Caenorhabditis elegans: one gene and its partners. The protein of the gene in region 4 interacts with the protein of the main gene of each other region in a pairwise test. Each region holds a gene or a part of one and is shown on either strand. Other genes may lie near its edges. The genes, in order: F53H1.4, ceh-51, klf-1 and nhr-23.

Region 1 (6,121 bases), on a different chromosome or scaffold from region 4:
ATTAACATTTTCAGACAAATTTTTGAGTTCCACACTTTTAGGGAAAAAAATGGCAAAAAATCGATGAAAACGATGAAATTTCATGTAAAAATTCTCGGAAAAATCCGAAAATTATCACAATTTTCTCAAATTTAGTCAATTTTCAGCAAAAAATTACAGCATTTCTAGCTTATTTTCAGTCATTTTCTTGATTTTAGGGGCAATTTCTGTGATATTTCTCAGTTTTCCAATGGGTTTTCATCAAAATTAGAGCGATTTCGAGTAATTTTTAGCCATTTTTGTCACTTTTTCAGCCAATTTTCAGTCAAAAATAGAGATATTTGGCTCAATTTTTTCCAAGTTTTCGTTAACTTTTAGCAAAAATCGGGCAATTTTAAGGCACATTTTGCTGATTTTGCCGAATTCTTTGCACTTTTTCACAATTTTCCGGCAATTTTCAGTCAAAATACAAAATTTCAGAGGCATTTCAAGCAATTTTAAGCCAGTTTTAACGATTTTTGAACAATTTTGAGCCTTTTTTGTTCAAAATCAAAGCGTTTTGGCTCATTTTTTCCAAATTTTCTCAATTTTCAAGGAGTTTTCGTCAATTCAAAAAAAAAAAGTTCACACAAAAATATGACAATCTTAAGACGATTTTGGCTAATTTTAGCGAATTCAATGCGCTTTTTCTCAAATTCAAAACAATTTTTAGTCAAAATACGATTGATTTTTAGGGACATTTAAGCCATTTTTAGCAATTTCTAGACAATTTTCAACCAAAAAAAAACATAGTTTTCATTTTGGCTCCATTTTTTTTCCAAATTTTCTGCATTTTTACCTCCAAATCGCGCCGTTTCCACGCATCTTCCATCTTTTTCACTCCGACAGCAATCCGCTTCTCTCCCCATTTCGACGGTGAGAATAACGGTGCATTTTTGCTGCTCGGTGAGCCCGTGTCTTTTTTCAAAAATTTGTCCATAGTTCCATTATTTTTCTCCTTTTTCTCAGCTTTTCGTGCCGCTTTTTCCTCTTTTTCCTTCAATTTTTCCTCTTTTTCTTTCAGTTTTTTCGCCTTTTCCTCTTCTTTTTTCTGCTTCTTCTCTTCCTGTTCTTTCTGCTTTTTCTCCAGTTTTTCCTTCTCTTTTTCATCTTTTTCCTTCTGTTTTTCTTGTAAACGGCGGCTCGAGAGGATCACAGGGCCTCCAGATGCTCGCGGAGCTCCACGTGGAGTTTTCTGCAAAAATTTTCGGTTTTTTCACAAGTTTCAACAGAAAGTTCTCAGAAAATTGGAAATTTCGCATGATTTTTGTCAATTTTTACATTAAAAAATTATATTTTCTAACAGTTTTTGGTGAAAATTGGCACAATTTTGGCGATTTTTGCGAGATTTTAGTCAATTTTTCACTGTAAAATGTGGTTTTTTTCTCGATTTTTCACAAAATGTATCCAATTTTTCTCGTTTTTTCAGAAATTTACAAATAAAAATCCCATTTTTCCTCATTTTTTACTATGAAAAATGGCGTTTTTCTCAATTTCTCAGTCGAAAAATCTAATTTCTCACAAATTTTGTCAATTTTAAAGCTAAAAATCATCGGAATTTAGTTGATCTCTGTCAAAATCACGATTTTTTCACTGTTTTATTCAATTTTTTAGGAAAAATCCTAATTTTTCTGTATTTTTACTACGAAAAATCGAGCTTTGACTACAAAAATAGCGTTTCTGTCAATTTTTCAGCTGAAAATCTACTTTTTTTTTCAATTTTCAGCTAACATCCTGATTTTTCTTTACTTTTCCTCTCCGAAAAATCAGATTTTTCTCTCAATTTTCCAGCTAAAAATCGAAATTTTCCCGTACCATAGCACTTTTATTTGCAGCTTCTGCTCCACTTTCAGCATCCATTGACACCTCTTGTACATCTGAATCATCGGCTTCTGCCGCCACACTGAGCTGAGCAGTTTTCGGCGTAGATTTCCGATTTGCTGAGAATATTGGAGCATATTTTTTAATTTCACGAATCGGATTCTCGGCGAGCAGTTCTTCCCGGACTTTCCACTGCTTTTCATCCACAAATTCAGCATCTTCAATGGCGATTTTCTTGATTTCTTCCACTGATAGACCCTTTTTTCGTCTGAAAATTGAGGGAAAATTAGGGTTTTTTCTCTAAAATTTTGGATTTTTCTTCATAAAAAGTGTAATTTCCACTTATTTTTGAGACAATTTAAGCGCCAAATTGTGAAATTTCACACAATTTTCATCCAAAATTACATCTTTGAACTTTTTCAGACTCTTTTTAAACGGATTTTTGAAAAAAAAAATTGCAGTTTTTTACACTTTTCACCGCAAAATCAAATTTTTGTGGACATTTTGTCTGGAAAATCGAATTTTTGAACGAAAAAACTAATTTTCCATAAATTTTCACTGGAAATTTCGGGTTTTCGAGGAAATTTTAATGAATTTTCTGGGATTTTTAGTGCAAAAATGGCCATTTTTCGTAATTTCGCCCACTGAGAGACCCTTTTTTGGCTGAAAATTGACATTTTTCAAATTTTTTATAGCAAAAATGAAAAATTTCAGCATTTTTTATGTGAAATTATTATATTTTAAAGCATTTTCCGTCCAAAAATCTCGAATTTTATGAGTTTTTAATCAAAAAACATGAAAATTTTTGGATTTTTCATGCAAAAATGTTGAAAATTACGCATTTTTGCAGCTATTTTGTGGATTTACTTTATATTTCACTTAAAAAGGTCTAAAATTGGCTGAAAAACACGATTTCAGCGTATTTACCGGTTAAAAAATTGGGATATTCTCGATTTTTCAATGAAAAAAACCCCATTTTTGCTCAGGAAAGATCTAAAAATCCGTTTTTCAATTCAAAAAATGACCTAAAAATGATAATTTTGAAGTAAAAATCGTGGGAAATGAATTAAAAAATCAATTTTTTGTTATTTTTCGGTTAAAATAAGCAATTTTTCATGAAAACCTGTAACTTTAGTGGTTTTTTTTTTGGGTGAAAAATGAAGAAAAAATGCGGAATTTTCAAATTTGTTGCATGAAAAATCTGAAAATTTAACGATTTTAGTCATTTTTGGCCTAAAACTCCGATTTATAAGCGAAATTCAACGGTTTTTCGCCACATTTTTCCACCGAAAACCATGCAATTCCATCAATTTTCACCTCAAATCGCGATGTCCAATTTTGGTGCCGTCCTCCATTGTGTAAAGTGTGAGCCCACCGCGTTTTTCACTGGAAACCACTGTATATTCTTTGCCAGAGCTCATTAATTTCTCTCCGGCAAAGAATTTCTCATCAATTAGGTCTTCAATTTCGTCGAGAAGGTCATCTTCTGATAAATTGCCTGAAAATTGGGGGATTTTTCCGCGAAAAATCTAGTTTTCTAGCGAAAATTTGGAGATTTTTGATGAAAAATCCACAATTTCTGGGTTTTTCACTCACTATTGTGAACTTTCGAGTAAACTTCAATGGCGAGTGGCTTTGGGAGGCGGGAGACGGCTGAAAAAAGAAACATTATTTTGTGGAATTTCGGGTTTCTAGGTGAAAATCGGGTGGAAATTCACGATTTTTCGGCACTAACCTGTCCCATTTTCCGACTTTTCCATTTGTTCCGTCGATTTTAGTGGTGTGGCGAGCGAAACGCTGGAAAAAGAGAGAAATTTGGCTCGAAATTCGGAGAAAAAAAGTCGAAAACGAAAAACAATTCAAATATTCGCAATGGGGCGCGCTTGCACACCCATTGGTTTTTATTGGATTTTCATGAATTTCCAGTGGTTTTTAGTGATTTTCACGGGTTTTCAATGTGAAAAATGAAGAGAACGTTGAATTTTACACCAGAAACAATAAAAAGAACTCTCAAAATTTTGGAGAATCGAGAAATAAGTTAAAAAAAAATTTATTTTTTTATTTAAAACATTTTAAATTTAAATTCACGTTTAAACTTACTCCGCAATATCATTCGAATTCGTAGCAGCCGTCATATTTCCAATTTCACTTCCAAATGATCGCTGGCTCATTTGCGAATCAACTTTTTGAATTTCCGAGTTGCAACAAGTAGTTTGTTAGTTTTTCGCACTGGAAAACTTGAATTTAAGTGACTTTAACGTAATTTACACAAAAATTTGCGCGAAAGCCGGCTATAAAGCGACAGAATTGTGAGGAATGCGAGAAAAATCGACGGACAGTGTTTGAACACCTGCGCGTTCGCGCCAATTTTTAAAAGCGCTAAACAACACGCGCGGCGGGATTTCGGAGTGTCGTAGTGCGGAAAATTTTTATTTTCGAAATTCTTTTTTTTTTTCGGTTTTTATTTTATTTTCCATAGATTTTTCGCTTTTTTCGAAGTTTTTTAAGTGAAAAAGTGAAGATTGAAGTCAAATTACTTACATAAAACGATAAATCGGCCAGAAAATAGGCAGAAAATCAGATTTTCTGGATTTTAAAACACTTTTTGAAATTAAAAATGATTAAAATTGTTCTTTTATAAAAATCCGAAGGTTTTAACGAATTTCCAGTGATTTTTCATTGTTTTCGCACACTTTAATCGTATTTTTCCCAATTTTAATCCAAAAATCCCCAATTTTTTCCAGTTTTCGATGGGTCGCGGCGAGCACAAAGAGCACAAACGAAAGCGTTCCCGTTCAAAGGAACGAAAAAGAAGCCGGAGCCGCTCGCCACGTGGCAGTCGTGAGCACCGGGAACATCGAGACAGAGATCGGGATCGGGAGAGACGCAGAGAACGAGACACTGATCGGGAGAAGACGAGAGATCGTGAAAAGCAGAGAGATGCAGAGAAAAAGAAGGAAAAAGAGAGTAAAACGGCGATTTTTGAAATGGAAGAGTCACGGAATGGTAAGGAATTGCAAAAAAAATTGGCAAAAAAAATCGATAAAAAGCCAAAAAAAGCAAATTTTTGCCTGGAAAAATCCCAATTTTCGAATTTTTGAGTTAAAACTGGGAAATTTGAACGAAATTCAGCCTAAAAATAGGATTTTAAGGTAAAAAAAAAAAACTTTTTAAACTGAAAATCGCAAAAATTAGCCGATTTTCATGCCAAAAGCATCAAAATTCAGCTATTTTTGCCGTTTTTATTTTTGCTATTTTCATGCAATTTCTAATTTTTCCGGAGAAAAAAAGCGAAATTCGGACAATTTTTGGATAGAAAAATTGAATTTTTGATTCAATTTTCGCCTTATACCGTTGAAATTCAAATTTGTCAACAGAAAGAGCCGAAAATTGTTCAAATTTAAAGGTTTTTGGTTGAAAAATTGAAGTTTAGGCGATTTTTCACCAAGAAAAGTGCGAAATTTTCGAATTTTTCATGCAAAATCCATAGAATTCTCAATTTTTTGCGAAAAAAAAACTCTAATTTTCACCCAGAAAAATGCATTTTTAAGCGATTTTTCCAATTTTCCACTGATTTGTATGGTTTTTGCAAAAAATAATGTGAATTTTATGAACTTTTCATGCAAAATCCATAGAGTTCTTACCTTTTTCCCAAGAAAACATAAAAATTTAAGCGATTTTTTTTCAATTTCCACCTAAAAAACTGAATTTCTAGACGATTTTCACCCAGAAAAGTGTGAATTTTATGTTTTTTTCGCAAGAAATAGGCCAATTTTCAACTTTTTGTTACGAAAAAACCTAACATTTTAGTGAGTTTTCTCAAATTTCACCCAAAAAATTGAATTTCCAGCCGGCTTTTACCCATAAAAGTGTGAAAAAGCCCAAATTCTCAATTTTTTGCAAAAAAACCCCTTAATTTTATCAATTTGCAGACACCGAAGAAGTTATGAAAATGAAAGAAGCCGAATTACTACAGGGAGTCGAGCGTAGGCGTCGTAATGTGGAGAAGTGGAGAGCCCAAAAGAAGAAGGAAGAGCTTGATCTACAATCTGAGCAATCTGATGAAAAATCTGAGAAAAAGCCCTGGAATCTGGAGGATGAGGATGATGAAGACGAATTTGATATCAAAAATGAGGGAATTTCAGAGGAAAACCCGGTGAAAATGGAAGAAAAAGTCGAAAAAATGGATACAGACGACGAAGAGGACCCTCTGGACGCTTTTATGAAAGAAATTGCCACTAAAAACGCCAAAAAAACCGGAAACTCCACGCAAAAAGCGTCT
Region 2 (5,756 bases), on a different chromosome or scaffold from region 4:
TGAGTTTTTGAAAATTTCACTGAAAAATTTGAAAAATCTAGGTTTCATCAGTTTTTTGCGGAAAAACTGTAAAAATTGCTGAATTTTCTTTAAAAAAAAACGTTTTTTTGACTGAAATGCATATTGAAATTGTGTAGTTTGTAGTGTATACCACAAGAAAACTATAATTTCTTACAGGTTTGCCGAGTTTGGGAGGAATTCCTTGCAAAAGTTACATCGAAAGGATGCAACAAGCTGGCCGAAGGAATCATTTCCGAAATCTTCCCGTTCACCGGATTCTTCAAAGACATTCCAGACCTGTTTTCAGTCAGTTTCAGGCTTTTCAGGCCGAATAAAAGCCTATAATTACAGGGAAACAACTCGGCGGATCTGAAAGTTGCCCACTCTTGCTGGCGACACATTGAGCAGATTTTCGAGAAGCTCGACGAGTTCCGAGCGTTTGAGTTGCTCAGGAATGGAAGAGATCGTACGGAGTACTTGTTGGTAAGGAGAAATTGGAGAAAAAATTGGGAATTTTATGTTATTTCGTTTTTTTTATTATTCCGTTTTTCAAAATATTACTTTCGATGTCGATATTATATTAATACCAATCGGAGGAGGACCAGAAGCATGTTATTTCTTGATTTGTGTAGCTTTTTGTCACTTGTATTATTGTGTGCCCAATAAACGATGTTCGATTGAATTGAAAAAAAAACCGCGAAATTTGAATTTTCAGTGTTTTTGAACCTTTTAGAACATCAAAATTAGTAGAAATTCCACAACTTCAAAATTTTTGTCTCAAATTTACAACTCTCCGAGCATGTGTATTATAGGTGGTGTAGTCGAATTTTTTTATTGCTTCATTAGACTCAAAATTGTCTGAAAACGCCGAATTTCATAATAAAACTTCCTGAAAACTTCTTTAAAAAAAGTTATGACGGCTCAAAAAATGGCCTATAATTCGTTAAAATTTGAATTTGACCGACTTGTCAATGCCGCAGCGACTGGAAACATTTTTTTTTGAAATCATCGTTAAATTTTGAGTTTACAGCATGATTATCTTGAGTTTTCAACTCCATTTAGGTATTTTAAAATCGATGGACGAAGAGATTTTTAAATTTTTAAAACCAAATCTCGCCGTAGTCCATGGACTTTAAAATACCTAAATGAAGTTGAAAACGCAAGATAATTACATTGTATACTCAAAATTTGACGGTGATTTCAAAAAAAAAATTGCCTTCAGCCGTTACGACATTGACAAGTCGTCGGTCAAATTTGAAATTTTAACGAATTTTTGGCCATTTTTTGAGCCGTCATAATTTTTTTTTGAGAAGTTTTCAAAAAAGTTTCATTATGAAATTCTGTGTTTTCAGACAATTTTGAGTCTAATGAAGCAATAAAAAAAATCGACTACACCGCCTATAATACACATGCTCGGAGAGTTGTAAATTTGAGACAAAAATTTTGAAGTTGTGGAATTTCTACTAATTTTGATGTTCTAAAAGGTTCAAAAACACTGAAAATTCAAATTTCGCGGTTTTTTTTCTTCAATTCAATCGAACATCGTTTATTGGGGGCACACAATAATACAAGTGACAAAAAGCTACACAAATCAAGAAATAACATGCTTCTGGTCCTCCTCCGCCTCCTCCTTCGCCGATTTCTGTTGCTGCACAGCGTCCTGCTTGATCTGCTTGTATTTCTCCTTTCTCAACTTGAATCTCCGATTCTGAAACCAAATCTTGATCTGCTCGGGCGAAAGTCCGATGACTGCTCCCAACTTCCGTCGCTCGTCAACCTTTATTGTGTCGCACTGCTCAAATCTGGTTCTCAACGCGTAAAGCTGAGAATCGGAGAACGGAGTTCGAGCGCCTCTCCGCTTTTCTGAAGGAGCTCTTGGATGCTGCTGATGCTGATGATGTAGAAAAGACGGCGGTGGTGGGATGAAGCCAGCGTGATGAGCCACCATAGGATGAGGAAACGAGGATGGGGAGAGTTGTGAGTACTGCTGCTGGAACCAGGCGAAGCATTGAGCTTGGTAGGCTTGAGCATGGGCTTGAACTCTGTAAAAAAAAAGGAATTTTCGGAAGAAAAGCGATCACGGAGATGAATTTTGTTGCAAATAAGCAGTGATCAAATTTTCCAAATAGGGATTTTTGCCGCTGTAAATTTAACATGCCAAAAAGAAGCTACCAAATTTGCCCAATTTGTGGCAATTGGACTTCTTGGAGCTGTTAATTTCAAAAAAAGCAGCTACCAAAATTGCCTAAATTTGGAATTTTGGCCACTGCTAATTGCGAAGAAGAAGCTTCGAAAATTGTTCAAAATTGAAATTTTTGAAAACAGTTAATTGCAAAAAAAGTAGCAAACAAAATTTCCTGAATTGGATTGTTAAGAGCTCTTAATTGCATAGAAGCAGCTACGAAAATAGTTCAGAATGGACTTTTCGACACTGCTAATTGCAGGAAAACAGCTACCAAAATTGCATAAATTTGGAATTTTTGGAGCTTTTAATTGCAAAAAAGCAGCTACCGAAATAGTTCAAATTGGAATTTTCGACATTGCTAGTTGCAATAAATCTACCAAATTTGCCCAATTTGTGCAAATTGGACTTCTTGGAGCTGTTAATTGCAAAAAAAGCAGCTGCTACCAAAATTGCCTAAATTTGGAATTTTGGCCACTGTTAATTGCAAAAAAGCAGCTACCAAATTTGCCCAATTTGTGCAAATTGGACTTTTCGACACTGTTAATTGCAAAATTGCAGCTACCAAAATAGTTCAAATTGGAATTTTTAGAGCTGTTAATTGCAACAAAGCAGCTAACAAAGTTTTTTTTTGCTAAAAATGCCCGTTCGCGGCCATATAGTGTGAAAAAGCTATATTTTGAGTAATTTCCCACTGTCAAAACTTATGGGGTTATTCAAGAAATGTTACTTGCAAAATGTATTTAAATACATGTTTTTAAATGTATTTTAATACAGTTGTGACGTAATTTTTCTACACTTTTTAATTTTCCGACGCTAATTGAATAACCCCATTAAAATTAGCGGTTCTTCACGCATTTCGGTAGAAAAACGTAGTGAAAATCACTCTAAAACGCCCGTTTTGTACTGAAAAGTATCGAAAAAACTTACAACATATCATTCCCATTATGAGCCAGCTGTTGTTGATAGTAAAGCTGATTGGGATCCGCCACGTAGCACGGTGATGGAGCCTGATAGGCCGCCGGATAGGCTGGCGATGAGCTCATTGAGCCCGGAGAGCTGCTTGGCATTGTGGAATATTCCATTACAGTAGCATTAGTAATAGCAGAAGTTGAATTAAGATTCGAAGAAGACAAAGGATAATAGTCACCGCCGTTATTAATATTATAGTTGGATGATGACATTTTGTGTGGAATGAATTGGGGGAATTATAGTGGCTATTCTCCAGCTGGGGAGGCTGTAAATCTAGGCGGAGCATTGCTGCCTAGGTAGGCGGGGAGGCGAGAAGGTGCGATTTTGTTTGGCGGGAGACATGACCGGGAAAAGGTGACACCGGAGAGGTGAGATACCTGGGAATTGGGTGAGATTTTCCGGCTGTTCTTCAGAATTGTCTGAAAATCTGGAAAAATGTGAAGTTTTTCCACGGAAAAGCGAATTTTCGATTGATTCTTGTAGTTTTTCGTACAAATCGGACAATGCCAAAATTTGGCAGTTTTGGTACTTTGTGTTGGATTACGGTAGAAATTTTGGTCTGAAAAGCTTATTTTTAAGCCAATTTCAGTCAAAAACTGCAGTTCCGGCAATTCGGCAAAAACTTGCCGGAATTAAAAATTTCCGGCAAATTTGCAAGTTGCCGGAATTGAAAATTTCTGGCAAATCGACAAATTGCTGGAATTTGAAATTTCCTGCAAACCGGCGGAATTAAAAATTTCTGGCAAATCGGCAAACTGGCAAACTGCCGGAATTGAAAATTTCTGGCAAAATGGGCGATTTGCCGGAATTGAAAATTTCCGGCAAATCGGCAAATTGGCGGAATTGAAAATTTCCGGCAAATTGTCGGAACTGAAAATTTCTGGCAAAATGGGCAATTTGCCGGAATTGAAAATTTCCTGCAAACCGGCAAAAATTTGCCGGAATTTAAAATTTCTGGCAAATTGCCGGAACTGAAAATTTCCTTCAAACCGGCACATTGCCGGAATTGAACATTTCCGGCAAACGGGTAAAAACTTGCCGGAATTCGCCGAATTTTCCGAACAACAATTGCCCGCCTACTTAAAACTTTTAAAAAAGCAAAAAAGAAAAAAACAACTGACATAAAAATTATCTGATCAATAAGATATTGGAAAAAATGTTGAAAATTGCAAAAAAATATATCGAATCTAGGCATATAGTGCTCCCTAAACTACAACCTACAACAAATTTCAAATAAAATATACAAAATTTTGCAAAAAAAAGAAAAAATATAATTAAAATTCAAATTTCGAAATGTTAAATTTGAAAATTTTAGAGTTTTTCGACGAAATTACAACAAAAACACTCTGAAAATTATAAAAATCCTGGATTTTTTCAGGTGAAAGAGGCAAAAATCATCGCAATGACTTGTACACACGCGGCTCTCCGTCGAAATGAGCTCGTGAAGCTCGGCTTCCGCTACGATAATATCGTAATGGAAGAAGCCGCTCAAATTCTTGAAGTTGAAACATTTATCCCATTGTTACTACAAAATCCACAAGACGGACACAATCGACTGAAACGATGGATTATGATTGGAGATCATCATCAGCTGCCGCCAGTTGTACAGAATCAGGCATTCCAGAAATATTCGAATATGGAACAATCGTTATTTGCGAGATTAGTCAGGCTTAGTGTACCAAATGTGCAGTTGGATCGACAGGGAAGAGCCAGGGCTCAGTGCGTGTTTTTTTTTGGGGAATTCTTGAGAAATTCTACGTGAAAATTAAGAATTTTACGGTTGAATTTACCGAAAAACGATTTTTCGTGCGAAATTGGCAAATTTTCATATGAAAATTGCAACTTTTCACAAGAAAAATTTGGCATTTGAGCTCAATTTGCTGAAATTCAGATTTTTTTCGGAAAATTGGCGAATTTCTAAGTGAAAATTGAGATTTTAAATATAAATTTACCGAAAGTCGATTTTTTGTGCGAAATTGGCAAATTTTCATATGAAATTTGCACCTTTTCACAAGAAAATTTGACATTTGAGCTGAATTTGCTGAAATTTGGATTTTTCCTATAAAAATTCCGAATTTCCAATTCAAAATTTATATTATTCATATAAGTTTCATGAAAATCAGATTTTTTTTCCCGAAAAATTGCGAATTTCTACATGGAAATTGAAATTTTCATTTTGAATTTCCCGAAAAACGAAATTTGTGTGAAAATTGCGAATTTTCATACGAAATTTGCACATTTTTACAGGAAAATTGAAATTTAAGCCGAATTTGCTAAAAATCGGATTTTTCAGAAAGAAAGTTATAGCAATTGCGAATTTCCACATCAAAATTGGTATAAATTTACTGAAAATCGGATTTTTGTACGAAATTGGCCAATTTTCATATAAAATTTGCAAAAGTTTTCACCGGACAATTGAAATTTAAGCTGAATTTGCTGAAATTCAGATTTTCTCGAACAATTGCGAATTTCTACGTGAAAATTCAAATGTTCACGTTTGAATTTGCCGAAAATTGAATTTTTGTGCGAAATTTGCAAATTTTCACGAAAAAATTGAAATTTAAGCCGGATTTGATGATATTCGGATTTTTGTACAAAAATT
Region 3 (9,383 bases), on a different chromosome or scaffold from region 4:
AGAGAGGTTTTTTATTTGGAAAAAAACTATTGTGAGGGGTATTTTATATTAGTGAAGTTTTTTCAAAAAAATTTAAAAAATTCGAAGAATATTTTTTTTTGGAAATTTTCTTTTTGAATTTTTTTTTTGAAAAATTGCCAAAATGGTTATTAATTGTCAAATAAAATAATTTTTCAACTTAATGTATTATAAAAACTAAATAGAACAAATTTTCCAAGACAAACATTTCAAAAAAAAAAACCAGCTTTTTTTCGAAAATTTTCAATTTTCAACTTTTCCAAATAGTTGAAAATCTAATCTAAAATTTTAGAAAAAACTGGAATTCTTCATTTTGTGAATATGAAAACATGAAAATAATAATTTAATAGTAAGTATAATGAAATTTTCAAAAAAAAAATTTCAAAAAATTTTTTCCAAAAATTATTTTTGAATAATTTTGAAAGGCTCAAAACCTTTCCAATTTGGTTTTTTTTCAAATTACTAATCTCTGAAAAATCAAAAAAAAAAACACAGAAAAAAAAATCGATATGTATTTATTGATTTCCACGTGGGGGGGGGGGGGGAAAGTGAAATGTGACAAAAATTAATATGACCGTATTTAGTGATGATACCAAGCATTTTTTGAGCAAGAAAACATTCAAAAAACTGTAAAAATGACGTCACGATGTTGAGACGTGACTGGCGGGAAGTTTGAAAATTTTTGAAAAAAAAAACTTTTTTCAAAAATTTTCCAAAAAAAATGTAATGACCGGATAAAAAGTTGAGAAATACATTTTGGGAACCCGTAATTAGTTAATCTGTTGCACCATGTTTTTTTTGATTAGAAGTGGCGTTTCATATGGAGTGAGAGATGATCACTTCGGGAGAAGGCACGTGAACATTGAGAGCACTTGAATGGGCGGTCTCCTGAAAAAAACAATTATTTTTGTTTTTCTTAGCATTGCAGTGCATAATTTAAATAGAGCTCGACGAGAGCTTTCATTTAAGTATAATCATGACTAGGTTTGGGAAAATTTGAAAATTTTTAGGTGTATGCGCCTTTAATTCACTCAAAAATTACCTGTATGTTTCCTATAGTGCCTTGTTAGCTCGTCAGATCTAGCAAATCGCCAATCACACCCGTCCCAACTGCATTCGTATGGTTTTTCACCTGAAAAATGATTTTTTTCATCAAAAAATTTCTAAAAACAACTTTAAAGAGAAGTTATCAAGATTTAAAACTGAAATTTTCAAACTTTTCATCCAGAAAAACCTATATCCTTCGACAAAGAATCGAACCTGTGACCTTCTGGGTCATAGTCTGACATCTTACCGACTGCGCCACGCGCGCACTGCGTGCCGCGCCAGTTGCTGGGCGCGACGGCGCTGGTGGCGCAATAGGTAAGAGAGATGACTGAGACCCAGAAGGTCCCAAGTTCGATTCTTTCTGCATGTTTTTGGTTTTTTCTGGGTGTAATGATTGCTTTTTCAATCTAGAAAATATTTTGTTCAGTACAATTAACAAAGTATTACCTGTATGAGTTCTAAAATGAGCCTTCAAATGTGAGCTTTTCGTGTAGACTTTCCCGCAATTCGGATGTGTGCAATGGTGAAGCCTCTTGACAGATGGTTCAGAAGCATCATATGATGAGCTCGGGCTCGGCTCGCAATTTGAATCCTCGAGGGAAGAGTCCACGTGGAGTCTTTGCGAGGCTTCTGCCATGTGGGTTTGATGCTCTTCCATTTGTTTTTTGATAGCATCCAACTGAGTTTTGATGGCCATCGGATCGACTTGACCATTTGCGTCTGGCATTACAGCTAGACACGCTGAAGCCGTCAGTTCGTCTATTTTTCGCTTAAACTCCAAGGGGTCAAAGTTTTGGTAGACGAAGGAGTTCACAGAGCTGGATACTGAGCTGGGAAGGTCTGATGTTGATGACACACTTTCTACGTTCACTGTGAGAGGTTCGTCTAAAAATTAAAAAACATTTGAAGTTTTGATTTTTCAAAAAAATATTTTGAAAAAAAATATTTTGGAGAAAATTTTTTTCAGCACAAAATTGGTATTATAATTATCTTGTTTTCAAGTTTTGGATATTTTATTGTAGTCAGCTTGTTAAGACCTTTCAAGTGACCCCCATCATGCTAGGTTCTCCCCATGTTGGGTCCCACCACGAAAATTCCCCAGGAGTACTGTAGTTTTCGTGGTGGGACCCAAAATGGGCAGAGCCTAGACATCATGGGGGTCATTCGAAAGCTCTTGATGTGATGAACGCGAAAAAAGGTTATTTTTCGAAAAATTATTTTTGAACTAAAAAAATATTTTTTACCTTAATTTTGTTTTTATCGCTCTCAACTCATCAAGAGCTTCAAAATAACACCCATCATGCCTAGGTTCGGCATATTTTTAAATTTTTAACCCTATGCGCCTTTAAATTCTGGTTCTCGCGGTGAGACCCAAAGTGGGCGGGGCCAAGGCAAGATCGGTGTCATTTGAAGGATCTTGACGAGCCGAGAATAGTTAAATTGTGAAGTTTGACGACTTTTTTTAATTTTGAAGAAAAAATTTTGAAAAAAAATTTTGTGGAAAATTTTTTTTCCAGAATTAAAAAAAAAATTTTCCGCAATTTCAAAACCTTACCTCTTAAATCAAAATTCATTGCGGATCTTTTGACACACGGACTTGTCGGACTATCCATGTCAGCATCCTCCACAACAATACTCTCATGATCCTGATGGCCTGAATCTCCGGAGCTCGAGGAAGCGATATCGAAATTTGAAGTCGAATGAATCAGCCGAATTGGGACATTTCTAGCCATATTCAGGTTAAGATTTCGAGATTGTGGAAGCGGGTCTCGATTCAGAATGTCGGAAATCAAATGGCCCCCGGGGCGCCGGGTATCCAGATTTTCTCGAAGCAGGACTGGAGCGAACGCACCTGAAAATGATTTTTACTTTGAAAATTTGAATCAAGCTAGCCAAGAGCTTTCATTTAAGTATAATCATGACTAGGTTCTGACGATTTTGAACTTTTCAATAAATTTCCGGGTCCCACCACAAAAACTACAGTATCTCTCATTTCTTGTCATACAATACACTTTAAACTAAAAATATGAATTCAGCACACTGAGAGCTTCAAAATAACACCCATCTTGGCTAGGTTAGGTTAAGTTTGAAATTTTCAAACCCTATGCGCCTTTAAATTTAGATTTTCGTGCCGGGACCCAACAAGTTGAAAATTGAAGATCAATATAAAGTTTTAGGCATCGTGAATGCTAATAAAATTTTAAATGAACAGATGAAATATTTGTCAGTGACCTCTAAGCCTGCACTTCCGGGTCCCGCCACGAAAATCAAAATTTAAAGGCACATAGGTGCTTTAAAATTTAAACTCACTGGAACCTAGTCATGATGGGTGTTATTCAAAAGCTCTTTGCACGACAAATTCAATTTTTTCTATAATTTTCAAAAAAAAATTAGTTAGAAAGTTTAAAAAATTGAAAATTGAAAAAAAATCACAAACTTTTCTTGACTTGCATGCCCTGAAAAGCTGCTCCGAGAGCTGTCGTCGGTGTGTTGAATCCGGAAAATGACGACATTGACTCTGAAAAATATATGACAATTTTTACAAATTCGGAGGGTGTTTTGCAGGGGTGTCCCTGATAAGAAATTTTCTTTAGGCGTTTTCTTTTTTTTAGGTGATAAATTTAGTTGAGTTTTTAATTTTTGCAGAAGAATATGATTTCTTCTGCACATTTTGAAATGGGAATGGTTCCGATATCTTGAAAACTGGCAGAGTTATCGATTTTCGAAAAATTTCGAAAAATTTAAAATCGAAAACCTTTAAATTTTAACGCAGAGATTGAACTTAAAACTTCAAAACAATTAAATTCGAACTCAGCACGTTGAGAGCTTTCAAATGACACCCATCATGCCTAGGCTGCGTCAATTTTAGGTCCAACCACGAAAACTACAGTACTCCCGGGGAATTTTCGTGGTGGGACCCAAAATTTTCCAAACCTAGTCATGATTATATATATTTTTCTGAAAGCACGTAAAATTTACAATTCGAATAGTTTGAAAACTTGTGAGAAATACTGATAGTTTTCGTGGTGGCACCCAAAATTGTGGGCAAATTTTCGACAATTTTCGAAAATCGATAACTCAGCGAAAAATTGAGATTTACATAAGATTTTTTGTTTGACAAACACAACAGAAATTGTTCTTTCAGACAAAAATACTTTTCGCAGCCTGGAAACTGTACCTACAGTACCCCAGATCTTTTTCGTGGCAAGACCCAAGAAATTTTCAAAATTTTCAAACCTTGGCATGATTATACTTAAATTAAAGCTCTCAAAACGCTGAATTCAGATTTTTCAATCAAAAATAAAACCCACTCTGATGCTCTGCAATAAAATCACTTTTGATCTGTTCCAGACGGTCATTAAATGAAGTTGTCGGTTGGAAAAGGCTCTGAGTTGAGTCAAAATGTGAATTTTTATATGGTGCAAATGCAGAAAAGTCCGATTGTCTTTCGAAAACCGATGAAGAACTTGAACTTGTTGCTGCTCCGCTATCATTTCCAAATGTCTGCAAAAAAAACACATTTTTAAAGGATTTTTCAATTTTTCCATATTTAAATCTGATTTTTATGCTTAGGCTTGAGCTCAGGCTTAGGCTTAGGCTTTGGAGTCAACTTCGGCTTAGGCTTAGGCTTCGGCTTAGGCTTAGGCTTCGGTTTAGACTTAGGCTGAGACTTAAGCTCCTGCTTAAGCTTACACTTAGGCTTTGGCTTATGCATACGCTTTAGCCTAGGATTAGGCTTAACCTCAGCCTTAGGCTTAGGCTTAGGCTTAGGCTTATGTTTATCTATTTCTTGGTCTTTTTTCGAAATTTTGCGGTTAATAAAAGTTTTTTTTGTGAAATCTGTTCCATTCTAATATCGATTAATTAGTCTTTCGTAGGAAGATGAACAATCCGGTCTAGATTTTCTCTATTTTCTCAGCGCTCTCTCAATCTTATCAATCACTCTCTCTCTCTCTCTCACTTTATGTATGTGTTTCGGTAGATAGAAAGAGAGGCGCCAACGCCCAATGTTCTCCCTACTCTCTTTCTCTGCGTACTCTCTCACTCTCTCACTCTCATTTTTCTTTTTCTTGCGAAACAAGACGGTCGCCGCCGCCGACATCAAGAAAAGACGGTAACCACACCCAAAAAGGCGGGAAAATTGAGAGTGACAAAGAGACTGAGAGATAAGAGGGTTAAAGGACATGTGACTACTGTAGCTTTGAAATTTTGGTGGTTTTTCGTTGTGGGACCTTGAAAATATGAAAATCAAATTCAGCTGGGTGAGAGCTTTCATTTAAGTATAATCATGACTAGGTTTTGAGAGGGAGTCTTAAAAAAATTTAATTTCCGGGTCCCGCCACGAAAATCAAAGTTTAAAGGTGCATAGGCCTAACATAATATAACCAAGATAGCTGTATCTCAAAAAAAAACGAACATTTTCTAGCTTCCTCCTCAACGCGTTGGCCTTCAGCCTTTCGTAGGCACTTGTGCTCTCGGAAAGTTCCCGAATTGATTCGTAAAATTGATGTCCGAATTGATTAAAGCTTCTTGTTGCTTCATGTATCCGCTGTTCAGCATCGTCGTTTTCAGATGAAATTGAGGAGAGGCCTGAAAATTTGAAGATTTTTGGTTATATTTTTGCAAAAAAATTCAACGTTTTCTGCACATTTTGAAATTGGAATAGTTCAAATATCTTAAAAACTCGCAGAGTTATCGATTTTCGAAAAATTTCGAAAAATTTCAAAAAATCAAAACTTTTAAGGCACAGCTTGAACTTGAAACTTCAAAACTGTTAAATTTGAACTTAGCACACTGAGAACTTTCAAATGACACCCATCATGCCTAGGCTCCGTCAATTTTAGGTCCCACCACGAAAACTACAGTACTCCCGGGGAAATTTCGAAATTTTCGAAACATAGCCATGATTATACTTTTCTGAAAGCTCGTGAAATTTTAAATCTGATTATTTTTAAATTTCGGGCTAGAAAGTCATAGTTTTCGTGGTGGGACACATTTTTATTGAAAATTTTTTGTAATTTTTCGAAATTCGATAACTCAGCGAAAAATTAAGATTTTCACTTAATTTTTTCTATGGCAAACACAACAAAATTTATTCTATCAGGAAAACATATTTTCAGTGATGGTATTAAATAAAAAAACATCTCTCACCTGGTTGAAAAAAAGACGGTGACAAATGTACTGATCTATCCGCCCGCGCCAATGGATCAATTGATAATGATGGTTTATTAGGAATGTGTATTAATGGTTCCCGTGATGACGTGGCATTTATCGATGATGACGTCATCGTGGATGACGTGGAATTGAATTGTAGTGTACTTGATGAGGAGCTGAGTGACCCGGAGCCTTCCGGCCCAAACATCTGCAAAAATCGATATTTTTATAGATTTTTTAGAGGGGAAATGGGTAAATTGTGAAAAAGTACATAAGAAAATCTAAATTTGAGAAAATTTTGAAATAATTATTTTTTGAAAAAATTTGAAAAAAAAAATTTTGAAAAAAATTTCAATTTTTTGCTTTTCGATCTTTTGCTCATTTTTGAAGATTTCGATTTTAAGTTTGGTTTTCAATCTATGAAAAAAATTTTTTAAAGTGATTTTTCCCTAAAAACCCCAACAAAAATTTCCAAAAAAGGCGTAGTCTTTTACATTTTCGAGGGTAATGCATCGCCTCCTCAACACACAGCCGAAACAAAAAAAAAAGATAAAAACCGAAACAAAAAACTTGATAAAGGAATAAGAAAATGAAGAAATAGACAGAAACGCAGAGATACACAGAATCGGCCGAAAAAAAAATGGTAGGGAAAATGAATTGTCAGCTGAGAACGGGAACAGGAGAACGTGTCATGTGACATTTATGATTTTTGATTAGAAAATCAGAGGAATTTCTTGAAAAATCTCTAAAAATCAATAAAAATCTATCATTTTTCGTTTTTGCAAAATTGGAAAAAAACAATTTCGAGTTTTTGGCCTAGTGGCTAACAGAGTTGGCTGGGACTCACAAGGCCGGGGCTCGAATCCCCGATGGGGTCAAAATTTTTGTCGAGTTTTGTTTGCATTGTTTATGCTTTGAAAATTGACATGGTAGACGCTTTGACTTTGAAAATGAAAATTCACAAAAAAAAATCGAGATTTTAGTTCATTTCCCGAAAAATATCGATTTTCAGAAATATTTACATAAAAATTCGGGTTTTCCACGAAATTTCCGTCAATTTGAGACCCATATCGATTTTTTCAAAAAAATTAAATTTTTGGCCTTGTGGTTAACACGGATGGGTGGGACTCACAACACCGGGGTTCGAACCCCCGCTGGGGTCAAAACTTTTTTCCAATTTTTTTTTGGTATGTCAGAGATTTTTATTAACAACATTTAGTTCAAACCGTAGCGGACTGAAATTTGGTTTTTTTTTAATTTTTTACTTTGAAATTTTCAAAATTAAAAAAAAACAATTTTCAGCAAAAACGAATCGATTTTACAGAGTGAGAATAGAAAGTGAAAATAGTTGAAAAAACTAGAAGTATTAATGAGACAGAACTAACTACACGTCGATTGTAAATGTGATGTGACAGTTAGTTTGAGACGCACAGAAGAAACAAGAAAAAGATGAAAAAAGAAGAGAGAGAAATGAAAAAGGAACTGAACTATATAAGAACAATCTTCCAAATTAATCGATAGTTACACTAAATTTCGGCGGGATTTGTTAAAATAAAATTTGTGAAAATAAAAACTAGTGATTTTCCGGAATTTTCATATAAAAATTCGAGTTCCCAATAAAATTTCCGTTAATTTGACAACCATATCAGCTATTTTTGAATCATTTTGAAAAACATTTGAAACATTGAATTTTTGGCTTAGTGGATAACACTGGTGATTGGTAATCTCAACACCGGGGTTCGACCCCCACTGTGGTCGACGTTTTTTTTTTCGGTTTTTTACACATTGTTTACAGACTAAAAATGTGTCGAAACTTGAAAATTTAAAAAATAATAGTTGAACTTTTGGCCTGGTGGATAACAGAGATGACTACCACCCACAACACCTGGGTTCGAGTCCCCACTGTGGTAACTTTTTTTCTTATGTTTGATATCTCATCTACACTGGCCTCAGCGTGTTTAAAATGCCTTCTTTATGTAAAAAAGGCGGAAAATGGGTAAAAATTGATGAACCGCATCGAAATGAGTCTTTATCTCGGTGACAGCGACGGGAAATTTAGTTCTAGTGTTCCGCAAAATCGAGAAACTCAAATTAAAATGTTTTTAAGGTCAAAGATATGAAAATAAAATTCGAAAAATTTCACAACCTTTTGTACTGTGGACTTCAAAAAATGTCAGCAGTTACGGGAATATCATAAGACATAGTGGGGGTGTCATGTGATTAGTAAAAATTGGAAAAAAAAATGTAATATTAGTTTTGTGTACTATAAAAATTAAGAGGAAAACATTGAAATTTTGAAATTTTGAAAAAAAATTGGAACTTTTTCGTAAAATTTTGCAATATCTCGAAACTAGCTATGCAAAAAAAAATTGAAGACTAAAATTTTATAACTTTTAAACTTTTGGATACAATGAAGCTATTTTTCGAAAAATGATACGGCCACAGACAAAAGAGAGAGCAAAAACTTTAATATTTATGGCCTACGCAAATCAATAGTCCTAAAAGTTTCCTATAAGTTGGTTTTTAAAAAAGTTATCTAGCTCATTTTTCCGCGGAGTTACGCCACTTTGAAGATATCATGCGAGAGAGCGTAGGGTGAGGGGAGACGCAGCGTGCGCGCGCCGCCTGCGTCTCTCCCCCTCCCACTCTAACACCTGTTACCTTTAAACTTGGATATCTCTGTTGAGAGAAGAGCTAGAAAAATACTTTCAACTGATAATTTGTAGATAATTTTAAGGGCTACATTTTGAAGGTTAGCAAATTTTGGAATTTTCAAATAGTTTTTGAGAAAAAACAATTTCAAAAAATGTTTCAAGTGGATTTCCAGGAAATCTCAAAAATTCCAATGAAGGGCAAAGTGAAAGACACAGAATGAGAGAAAAAACGAAAATACATACCACACACTGTTTCTTAGATGGATGGTGGTGGGGGGAGAAGAACAGGGCGTCTCCCCGCGGGCCGCCGCCGTCTGCTGTTTCCCGTGCAAAATAGGCGGAGCCAAGCAGGCCATACAAACACACACACACACAAAGAGACTGTCACTTGAGAGAGTGCAGAGAAGCAGAGAGACAAGGGTGTGGTAGAGGGCACGGGAACAAGAAAGATCTAATGATGATGATGATGATGATGATGCGGTTTCTTCTTTTCCTTCTGGAGAGGAAAAA
Region 4 (8,223 bases):
TGCATACAATTCCATAGAATCATTTCCACATTTATTTGCCTTTGTCTCTATCGGTAAATTAATCCATGCCAAATAAGAAAACACATAAATCTGAAATATTTTATTTGATTTATTTGGGGATAGGTACCGTTATAGTATAATAAAATGGTCGAAATATTAAGCTAAATATTATAAATTTAAAAAAAAACCACATTTGGAAATGTGGGAGAAAAAAAAAAACTTTGAATTCCTGAAACTGACACTATTATGTTTGACTAAATATAATTGATAGATCCAGAAATAATCTAAAGCTTAAATTCAATTTCAACTTACGAAAATCATTGATGAAGTACTTCGTAAAAAATTAAAAAATGATATAAATATATGAGTATATTCTATTCTAAAGTGGACAAATTTATGATAACGAGAGCCTCGTGGAAACATAAAGTAGTGTTGGAAATTTAATTAGAACTCACGTCTTAAAACTCACGCGTTGTATCTATTTTTGGAAAATAATCGGAATAAAAAGTAAATATTAATTAGGAACAATTCTACGGAGAATAACCAGAAAAATAAAAATATAAAATTGAGACGTTTTATCACTGAGAAAACCAAAAAAAAAGAGATTATATTTAACAGAGAAAGATGTTGTGGGGCAGGTAGAACCGAGAGGAAAGTGAAATAAATTAAAAAGTCGGTGTATGGAGCTGAATGCATTGATGACAATGAAACATATTTAGGATGTTACATGAAACAATGGAAACACTCAAGCGACCACTACACCATAAACGAGAAAATGGTTGGATCAAATGGGTAAGAAGGCGTAATTAAAGCGCAGACACTGGAATGATACGAGTTTTAAAAGGCAATAAATGGGGAGATATTTAATAAAATAAAAATTAGTGCGCCTAGAAATCCAGATAAATGGAAATTTGTGGTTTTGTACCCGTGTTGATCACGAAAAGAGTATGGGATGGGATGGGGAGAGGCATCAATACCTGAAGAGAAATGATAAGACAAGAGAGAGATTGGTATGGTTTCAGAAATTTTACTGAACATGAAATGCAAGAAAACATGGAACGCAACATGATTGTACATGGTACACGAGGGGGGGGGGGGGGGTGACAAAAGTCATTAATAAATTAGAACAAGTAAGTAAAGAAGATCCGAGTAAATCACTTTAAAAACAGGAAAAGGAGAGAAAGAATGAGGAACTCTCCTGCAACAGACGACTACAATTATTTTTCTATTAATTTTCTGATAAAACATGGAAACGACTGGGGTTTTGGGGGGAATGTCGGGAAAGGAAATCACAGAAGGAAAGAAAATGGTGTCGTTGGGTTCAAACGGCGCTTTGGTCTACTCTTATTGTACAAATAACCGGAGGAAACGAGATTCATGGACGGGGATAGGGAAGGAGAGCATGGATAAAACTATTGATGATATATGGATTCAGTCAAGGCCGATCTGCAGTGAATAGCTCTTTGTAGAGGGCAGGAAGCTTTTCAGATGATGTTGGATCAGACATTCGGAAGTTTTGAAGAGCCTGTAAATAGAAAAATAATAACCTCAAAATTAAGCATTCCAGATTATTTATATCCAAGCTTCAGCAAATAATACCTCTTGATGCAAACGAGCTGTTTGTCTGATTCTTGTCTCAACATCTTGAATTCGGTGAATCGTGTCTTCCATGCATCCAATTCTTGGCATGACACTTTGGTACAACGCGTTCTTCAGTGTTTCTGCAGTGGCAATCGTCGCAGTGTCAAGAATCCCAATTCCATGAGAAGAAGACACTTGCTCCAGAATAAGTCCAGCGGCAAGAAGAGCTAATTCGGATTGATGCGGTTGTAAATGAACAATTTCTTGAAGAGTGTTATTAACTTCAACGATCAATTGCATCTGAAACATTGAGTATGAGCCGATATTACTCTATGAAAATAAATACCTCGGCATCATCTTCGGCAATCAAGCATGCAAATGGAACAGAATACCTTTCACCGCACACTGCCTGCGCGTCTACATTGTAATACATAGCAGCAAAAACGAGTGATAACTCAAAAACGCTTCCCTTCAGCAATTGAATCTGTGTTTCTTGCGGAAGATTCATAAATCCATCAATACTTTTGGCAAACTCAATAATTGCTTGAATAAGCGGATTGAGCTCCCTAGCGAAGAGCTCCCAACCACCAGCTCGACTCAAATGAGGAATACAATCAGGATCCACGTTACAAACTCCATGTTGTGTTGTATAGGAACTGTGCTGCTGATTGAAAGCTCTGATAACGCGAGTGGCAACGTCTTCTTCTGGAACTTGTGGCGATGGGAAGCTTCCTCCAGTGGCTTGATGTGCAACATATTGTGTGCCATTTGTAGATGATGGTGTTGCTCCGTACATGTTCTGTGGCATTGGAGTCGTAGGAGTCGCAGCAACAGCTATAGAATATCCGTTAACAGGTGTTGAAGTTCCAGATGGATAATGACCGTACATACTTTGATCAAAGCTGAAAATGACGTTGCATGACAGAAAAATGTAGGTGATAATTACCAATAACTGGGATGGGATGGTGGAGGGGAATAGTCGCCGTAAATTGCTTGGTATCCAAGACCATTTGCAGCTAATTCTTTATGCATTCGAACCTGAACCTTTAAGGATTGAACAGACAAAAACGATGACATGAATACGAAGTTTAGAATTGGGAATGTAAATACCTCATCTTCTACTTTTTCTCGTTGCTTTTTTGACATTCGTCCAAATTTAACTGCATCCCGTGACATTCCTAACTCAATACACTTTTTGAGACGGCAGTATTGGCATCGATTTCGATTCACTCTGAAAATACGATATTAAATTTCTGTAACATTCCTAACTGAGATACCTATCAACAACACAATTCTTCTGTCTCGGACACTGATAATTGACGATGGATGATTGACTGCGTCGGAAAAAGCCCTGAAAAATGTATAAGAAATAAAGTAATTCTGGTAAAAAGGCATACCTTGCAGCCTTCACATGTGATAACTCCATAGTGAACGCCAGACGACTTGTCACCGCACACTTTACATGGTATTACTTCTATCTGCGCTGATACTGAAAAAGTAAATTTAGAATCTTTAAAAAGTTCAGTTTATCACAATTTTGGAGTGTTTTTTTTCAGAGTTCGGTTCCAAATTCCAAATTTCAAGGGTTTTAAAGGTTAGTAGGACAATGAACAAAAAATACGTGCATACCCAGAAGAGATTTGTTTTCGGGAAGTCCCCGGAAGCTCATATTATCAGGAAGAATTCCGGCCATATCGACTCGATTTGTATCAATAACACATGTCAATCTTTTGGAATTGTTTCCCATTTGAAGATCTCCGCCGCCTATACGAAAATCATCGGGAACTGACTTAAACTCCCGAGCAAAACAAAAATTTGGTTCCGATTTGATCGTATGCGGATGAAACATGCAATTTGAACTCTCGCATCCAGATTCATCATTTTCCTTGCTTTTTGGAGTTTCAATTGAGAGTGATGGTTGAAGAGATGACTTTGCATGAAGAGTTCGTGTTGCATCAGCCAACTTCTGCTCTACAGCTTGCATCGGAAAATTGTGAGCTTGTTGTCGCGATCGAGGCCAGCTGAAGATAAAATCAAGAAAGGCGGACTACAATTTAAGCGAGTAATGATAGGATACGCGGAAAGATTGAACGTCTAGAAACAGTTTGCGAAACGTTTTTTTTTTACGAAATGCCATGCAATCGCAGAGCTTAAGAAACTCACCTATTAGTTACTGGAGGATATAAATTGAAATTAATTGAAATTTCGAAACAAAAACCAGCCGTGGATCTTAACGTGACTTATTATTATTATTTAGGTTTTATCAATAAGATATAATCTAAACATAATAACTAGCTTATAGTTAGGAAAAAAATTCACGCAAAATAAATATTTAAATTCCTGCTGAACATTTTTTTTCATTGTTATTTGCTTTTGGGGGGGGAATTAGCCTTAAAAATTGAATCATTGCATATTTTAGATTAGAATAGTAAGATTTTTTTCGAATTCTAAATTTAAATTTGAGAAAAATGGTTGAAAACAAAATATTTATGTCAAAAATGAATTTAAAAAAAAACGAATATCAGCGAGGCGGACTACGGTAGGCGACATAAAATGAACTAAAGTCCGCAAACACTCTTAGCACACCGTACCTTCTGCGTTTTTAATATTTATAAATATTAAAAACGCAGAAGTTCAAATATTTGAAAAAAAACAAAAAAATTTTGTTTTTGCATTGTTTTGCAAATGGAATTCTTCAAAAGAAATTTGGTGAAACTGGAAATTTTAATGTCTCGCCTAAAACGCAAAAAAAATGGCTCAGCTTTTTGGTATTTTTAAATGAAAAATTTGACGAAAACCCGCCAAGAGAAATATGCTTCGGGAGTTCTTTATGTTTTTGTGCATAAATTTTAATCAGAAAATGTATACGGCAAGAATATAAAATCTATATCAATCTCACTTCGAATAGCATCACTCATTTCTGATTCAGATAAAAATCTCGTCGTCCCCAACTCTTTTATTATATCGGCTCGATTTTCAACCTCGTTTCCTAGGACCACAATTATCAGGTCTTATATATTCGCAACATATTTCATATTTCCTCATCATACCGCTCATCCTTCATTTCCTGCCTATTCTCAACTTTATCCCCATCTCACCGCTCCTCTCATAACAATTACAGTGTTTTGAAAGAATGAAGAGACGGTGACGATGGAGGATATGGGAATACTGAGAAACAAGGTAGGAAATGAAGAAGACGTAGGAATAAGAAGATGAAGAAGACAATTGTGTGTACGTCTCCGCGCTATTTCTTCATCTCGAGAAGTGACCTCGGTACCTGTGCACGGTGTGTTGCGCGCGAACGGTACGGTATGCCTCCCGCCAGGAGGTGACAGGACCCCGCGTCGTCGACGTCGTCGCGCTGTGTGAGGCAGGATATAGACGACGTGGTTTGCGATGATGGTGGTGGCGGCAGCGGCAGCGACGACGACGACGGGAGGTTGCAATTTCGTAAATTGTACTTTCCGCTGATCATGCGAAACGACAAAAGAGAGACGGAGACGTATACACAGCAAGTACGTGATGGTACCGCCGCGGAAAACTGGGAAAAGTGAATTTGATGGCAAAAACGGTGAAGAACACCCGAAATCTGGTTAAAAATATGTGCAAAATTTCAGAAACTTTCAGCCATCTTAGATAGTCTTCGAAACTTCCATTTTGAATTGAAACATCCCTACAGTATGCTAGAACATTACGGATTGCTTCAAATGTCTAGAGTTAGATCAAAAGATTTCAGGACACCCGCCGAGGTGCCACGTAAACAGAAAAACAACTCACTACACGAACGATGACATTTCGAGAACTGAAGTGAGGTGCCGATTTGGGCCAGTGACCTTACAGGCCATGCCATGCGCTCTGATGTGCCTTGACCCCTGATCTTCTTAAAAACCTTTTTTCAAGATTTTCGAAATGAGTGAAAATGGTTTTGATGTTGTTTGGCTAAACTCTCGAAATGACCATTGAAATGTTGCATTGAAGACCATCGAAGCGAGAACATGCACCTGGTACCGACAGTGACCACCTAATGGTAGAGAATACCGGTTTTCGGTGACACGCGGCTGGACGGGAAAAGGTGTCCCTTACCCCCACTCTCATTAGTCACTGATAAAGTACATTGTGTGAGATAATTAGAATGTAATTTCAAGTAAAAAAAACCAAAAAGCTGTGCTTTAAGATTTTTGCAATTTAATAGTAAGTGTAAACTTAAAAAGGGGAATAAAGAAAACTGAATTCAAGGTCAAGATGTGAGACGAACTTAATTGGGAATAATAACTCGATGAGGAGATGAGATACCATTAATACTTATTATAACTGCCGCACTGGTACTGACTCGTGCGGGCCATAAAGACTGTCCGTATTGAGTTGAAGTTATGACCAATAAGGAAAAATTTAGTAAGGGGGAGAAAATTATTTTTAGTGCTCCTTACATAATAAATTTAGATGTATAAAATAAATAGTGAAAGTAAATATCTAGAAGTAAAGCGAGAAAGAGGGAGAGAAAATCAGAGATCTTTTTGAGATACTGATCTTAATCTACAAAAGAGGGAATGTGGTTTCGGAAAAGAACAGAACACGACCACAAATAAGAAAAAAACCATTCGATAAGTATTTTTAATATCCTGCACAGTTTCAAGATGTTGAGTTATAACAAAATAATAGTACAATTCAAATATCAAAATATACCATAACTGAAAAGTGTAACTTTTGCAAAATAGACACAGTAATAAAATTGAAATTTTCAAATCAGTATTAATCCGACAGAAAATGGGAAAACGAATCTTCTCATAAATGAAAAAGGGCGCACGAAAATCTGAAGCATGGTTTTTGTGCTCCATTTACTGGGTACGACTATTTATTTGGTACTGGGTGCAAAATAGATACCGTACTATAATTGAGCCACATTGTTCATATCCTTTTTAGCTTATATCTCATTTTGTTTCATCGAAAAGTTATCAATTCACAAATTGCTTCGTAGTTGACTGTGTTTTGATATTTGTAAAATTAGTCCAGATATAAATTGACAAAGTAGAGTAATGGATTTCAGTACTGTGAGACTTTTTAAACTAGAAGTTTCAAGTGTCAAAGGAGGAACCGGGAATTGTTTATAAATAAAACTACAGTATAAATAGGAATCACATAATAAATAACTCAGTATAATACCAGAAAGGAAAAGCAAATAAGTTTAAGTTGCGCTAAAGAAAAGAAAAATACGGTGATGGTAAAAATAATTTAAAGTCCAAAAAAAAACAATTATAAGCGTATAAGATACTGTAAAACTGAAACATAATCAAAATCCACACAAAGAAGCCAAAAACGAACTACGACATCATTTCAAAGTGTTGAAATGTCGATTCTTTCTTCAATTTTGGGCTGTTCCCTCCTTCACAATTCATCTTTTCAAAAGGGCATTTTGAAGAGTATTACGGTAGAGGAAGGTGGTGGTCTCTATCTCGTCCAACTATGGGGCAATGGCAGAGTGACCGTGAAATATAGGCATTTTTGATCAATTTGATAGACTTGATAACAGTGGAACGTGCATAACATAGATGGTAAACATTGGTTAGACAACACAAACACATTTTGAAACCTTTCAATTGGAATCTGGAACCTAGAACCTGGATCATGGATCTTGAAACGAACTACTGAATTAATTGTTGTCCTATCGGCAAAAATGAATCTTTTTTGGGTTAGCCATGGCCGAAAACGGGGTGACCGGGTTAGCGGGTCCGGTCGCCGGGCCATGCCCTTCCCCGTTTTTTTGCATCTCTTTCTCTCTCCTTCCACCAACATCTTCGAGAGAAGAAGAAGATGAAGAAGACGTGAGATGACCTACCTCGCATGTCGTCGTCCGAACGCAAGTGACCCGGCCGGTCAGTAGCCGTCGCCGGTAGGGATGCGTCGATCCGGTGTGTCTGCGCATCACAACACTCTCGTCCCCACCCATCCCCTCTATCTCTCCGTTCTCTCGATCACGGCGGCGCCCTCCCAGATCGCATCGTCGCCGCACAAAAACGGTGAAGAAGTTTTGGAGATGAAGAAGATGTGGTGGCGAACGATGGAATAACTCTGTCGGGATGACTCGAAAATACCAAAAACCCGACCGATCACTAATCAGTCAAGACGCTTCCCCTGTTTTCACCCCGTCGAGAAAGCCGACAACGCCTTACTCGTTTTGCAACCGGGAAGATTACGGTAGCGGTAGTGATTAGAAAGTTTTCTTCTAATATAGTTGATGAAAGCTTCTGTAAAGTAAAGCTATTCAACTCTACTACATATAAAGATTTTGTATAACTTACCGTATTTTCCAGTGCTCCTTACTTGCACATCATTGCTATACTTTGACGGCTTATACTTCTGTTGTAATAAATTTTATCAAAAATCTTCAACAATCAAAACATATTTAAAAAAACTTTGTACGTATTATGCCAGTTGAAAATTTTTAGATAAAACTAAAATCAACCGAGATAAAAACTGTCAAAATAGAGCAAGGCGGTGCAAATCTTAAAAAGAAAATGCAATATGCAAAACATAAATACCATTTCGGATGTTGTGCATTGAATTGAATAAACTGGTTAAGAGATCAATTAATTTCATCTTTACAAACCAAAACTATCTAGAGCTTGCTCTCATCATCCAATAAAC

What was found.
Region 1: the proteins of nhr-23 (region 4) and F53H1.4 interact in a two-hybrid assay, tested with the Caenorhabditis elegans proteins (one large-scale study listed by BioGRID).
Region 2: the proteins of nhr-23 (region 4) and ceh-51 interact in a two-hybrid assay, tested with the Caenorhabditis elegans proteins (one large-scale study listed by BioGRID).
Region 3: the proteins of nhr-23 (region 4) and klf-1 interact in a two-hybrid assay, tested with the Caenorhabditis elegans proteins (one large-scale study listed by BioGRID).

Annotation. Positions count from the first base shown.
Region 1 is NC_003282.8:1,308,113-1,314,233, reverse strand, and holds the start of F53H1.4 (PHD-type domain-containing protein), read right to left. Parts: upstream 4,069-6,121; 5' UTR 4,011-4,068; coding exon 3,940-4,010; intron 3,637-3,939; coding exon 3,575-3,636; intron 3,493-3,574; coding exon 3,436-3,492; intron 3,338-3,435; coding exon 3,157-3,337; intron 2,108-3,156; coding exon 1,834-2,107; intron 1,214-1,833; coding exon 818-1,213; intron 1-817. Other genes in the region: ddx-46 (RNA helicase), read left to right, coding at 4,590-4,845, 5,772-6,121.
Region 2 is NC_003283.11:18,871,743-18,877,498, reverse strand, and holds ceh-51 (Homeobox protein ceh-51), read right to left. Parts: upstream 3,367-5,756; coding exon 3,113-3,366; intron 2,043-3,112; coding exon 1,592-2,042; 3' UTR 1,517-1,591; downstream 1-1,516. Other genes in the region: emb-4 (Intron-binding protein aquarius), read left to right, coding at 178-306, 352-483, 4,533-4,873. UniProt on the Caenorhabditis elegans protein: Required for mesoderm development, including specification of muscle and coelomocyte precursors.
Region 3 is NC_003281.10:2,871,862-2,881,244, reverse strand, and holds klf-1 (Kruppel-like factor 1), read right to left. Parts: upstream 6,428-9,383; 5' UTR 6,353-6,427; coding exon 6,217-6,352; intron 5,656-6,216; coding exon 5,483-5,655; intron 4,570-5,482; coding exon 4,377-4,569; intron 3,584-4,376; coding exon 3,503-3,583; intron 2,918-3,502; coding exon 2,621-2,917; intron 1,951-2,620; coding exon 1,513-1,950; intron 1,331-1,512; exon of another isoform or gene 1,257-1,330; intron 1,151-1,256; coding exon 1,061-1,150; intron 914-1,060; exon of another isoform or gene 907-913; coding exon 821-906; 3' UTR 569-820; downstream 1-568. UniProt on the Caenorhabditis elegans protein: Transcription factor which modulates genes involved in lipid metabolism and the phase I detoxification pathway, including cytochrome P450 oxidases.
Region 4 is NC_003279.8:7,214,165-7,222,387, reverse strand, and holds nhr-23 (Nuclear hormone receptor family member nhr-23), read right to left. Parts: upstream 5,605-8,223; 5' UTR 5,427-5,604; coding exon 5,359-5,426; intron 3,603-5,358; coding exon 3,211-3,602; intron 3,071-3,210; coding exon 2,979-3,070; intron 2,933-2,978; coding exon 2,859-2,932; intron 2,813-2,858; coding exon 2,692-2,812; intron 2,626-2,691; coding exon of another isoform or gene 2,620-2,625; coding exon 2,528-2,619; intron 2,484-2,527; coding exon 1,928-2,483; intron 1,882-1,927; coding exon 1,600-1,881; intron 1,526-1,599; coding exon 1,436-1,525; 3' UTR 1,160-1,435; downstream 1-1,159. Other genes in the region: Metal transporter cnnm-4, read right to left, coding at 1-15. UniProt on the Caenorhabditis elegans protein: Orphan nuclear receptor. Transcription factor. Modulates expression of target genes, such as Period protein homolog lin-42 and microRNA let-7, by binding to hormone response elements (HRE).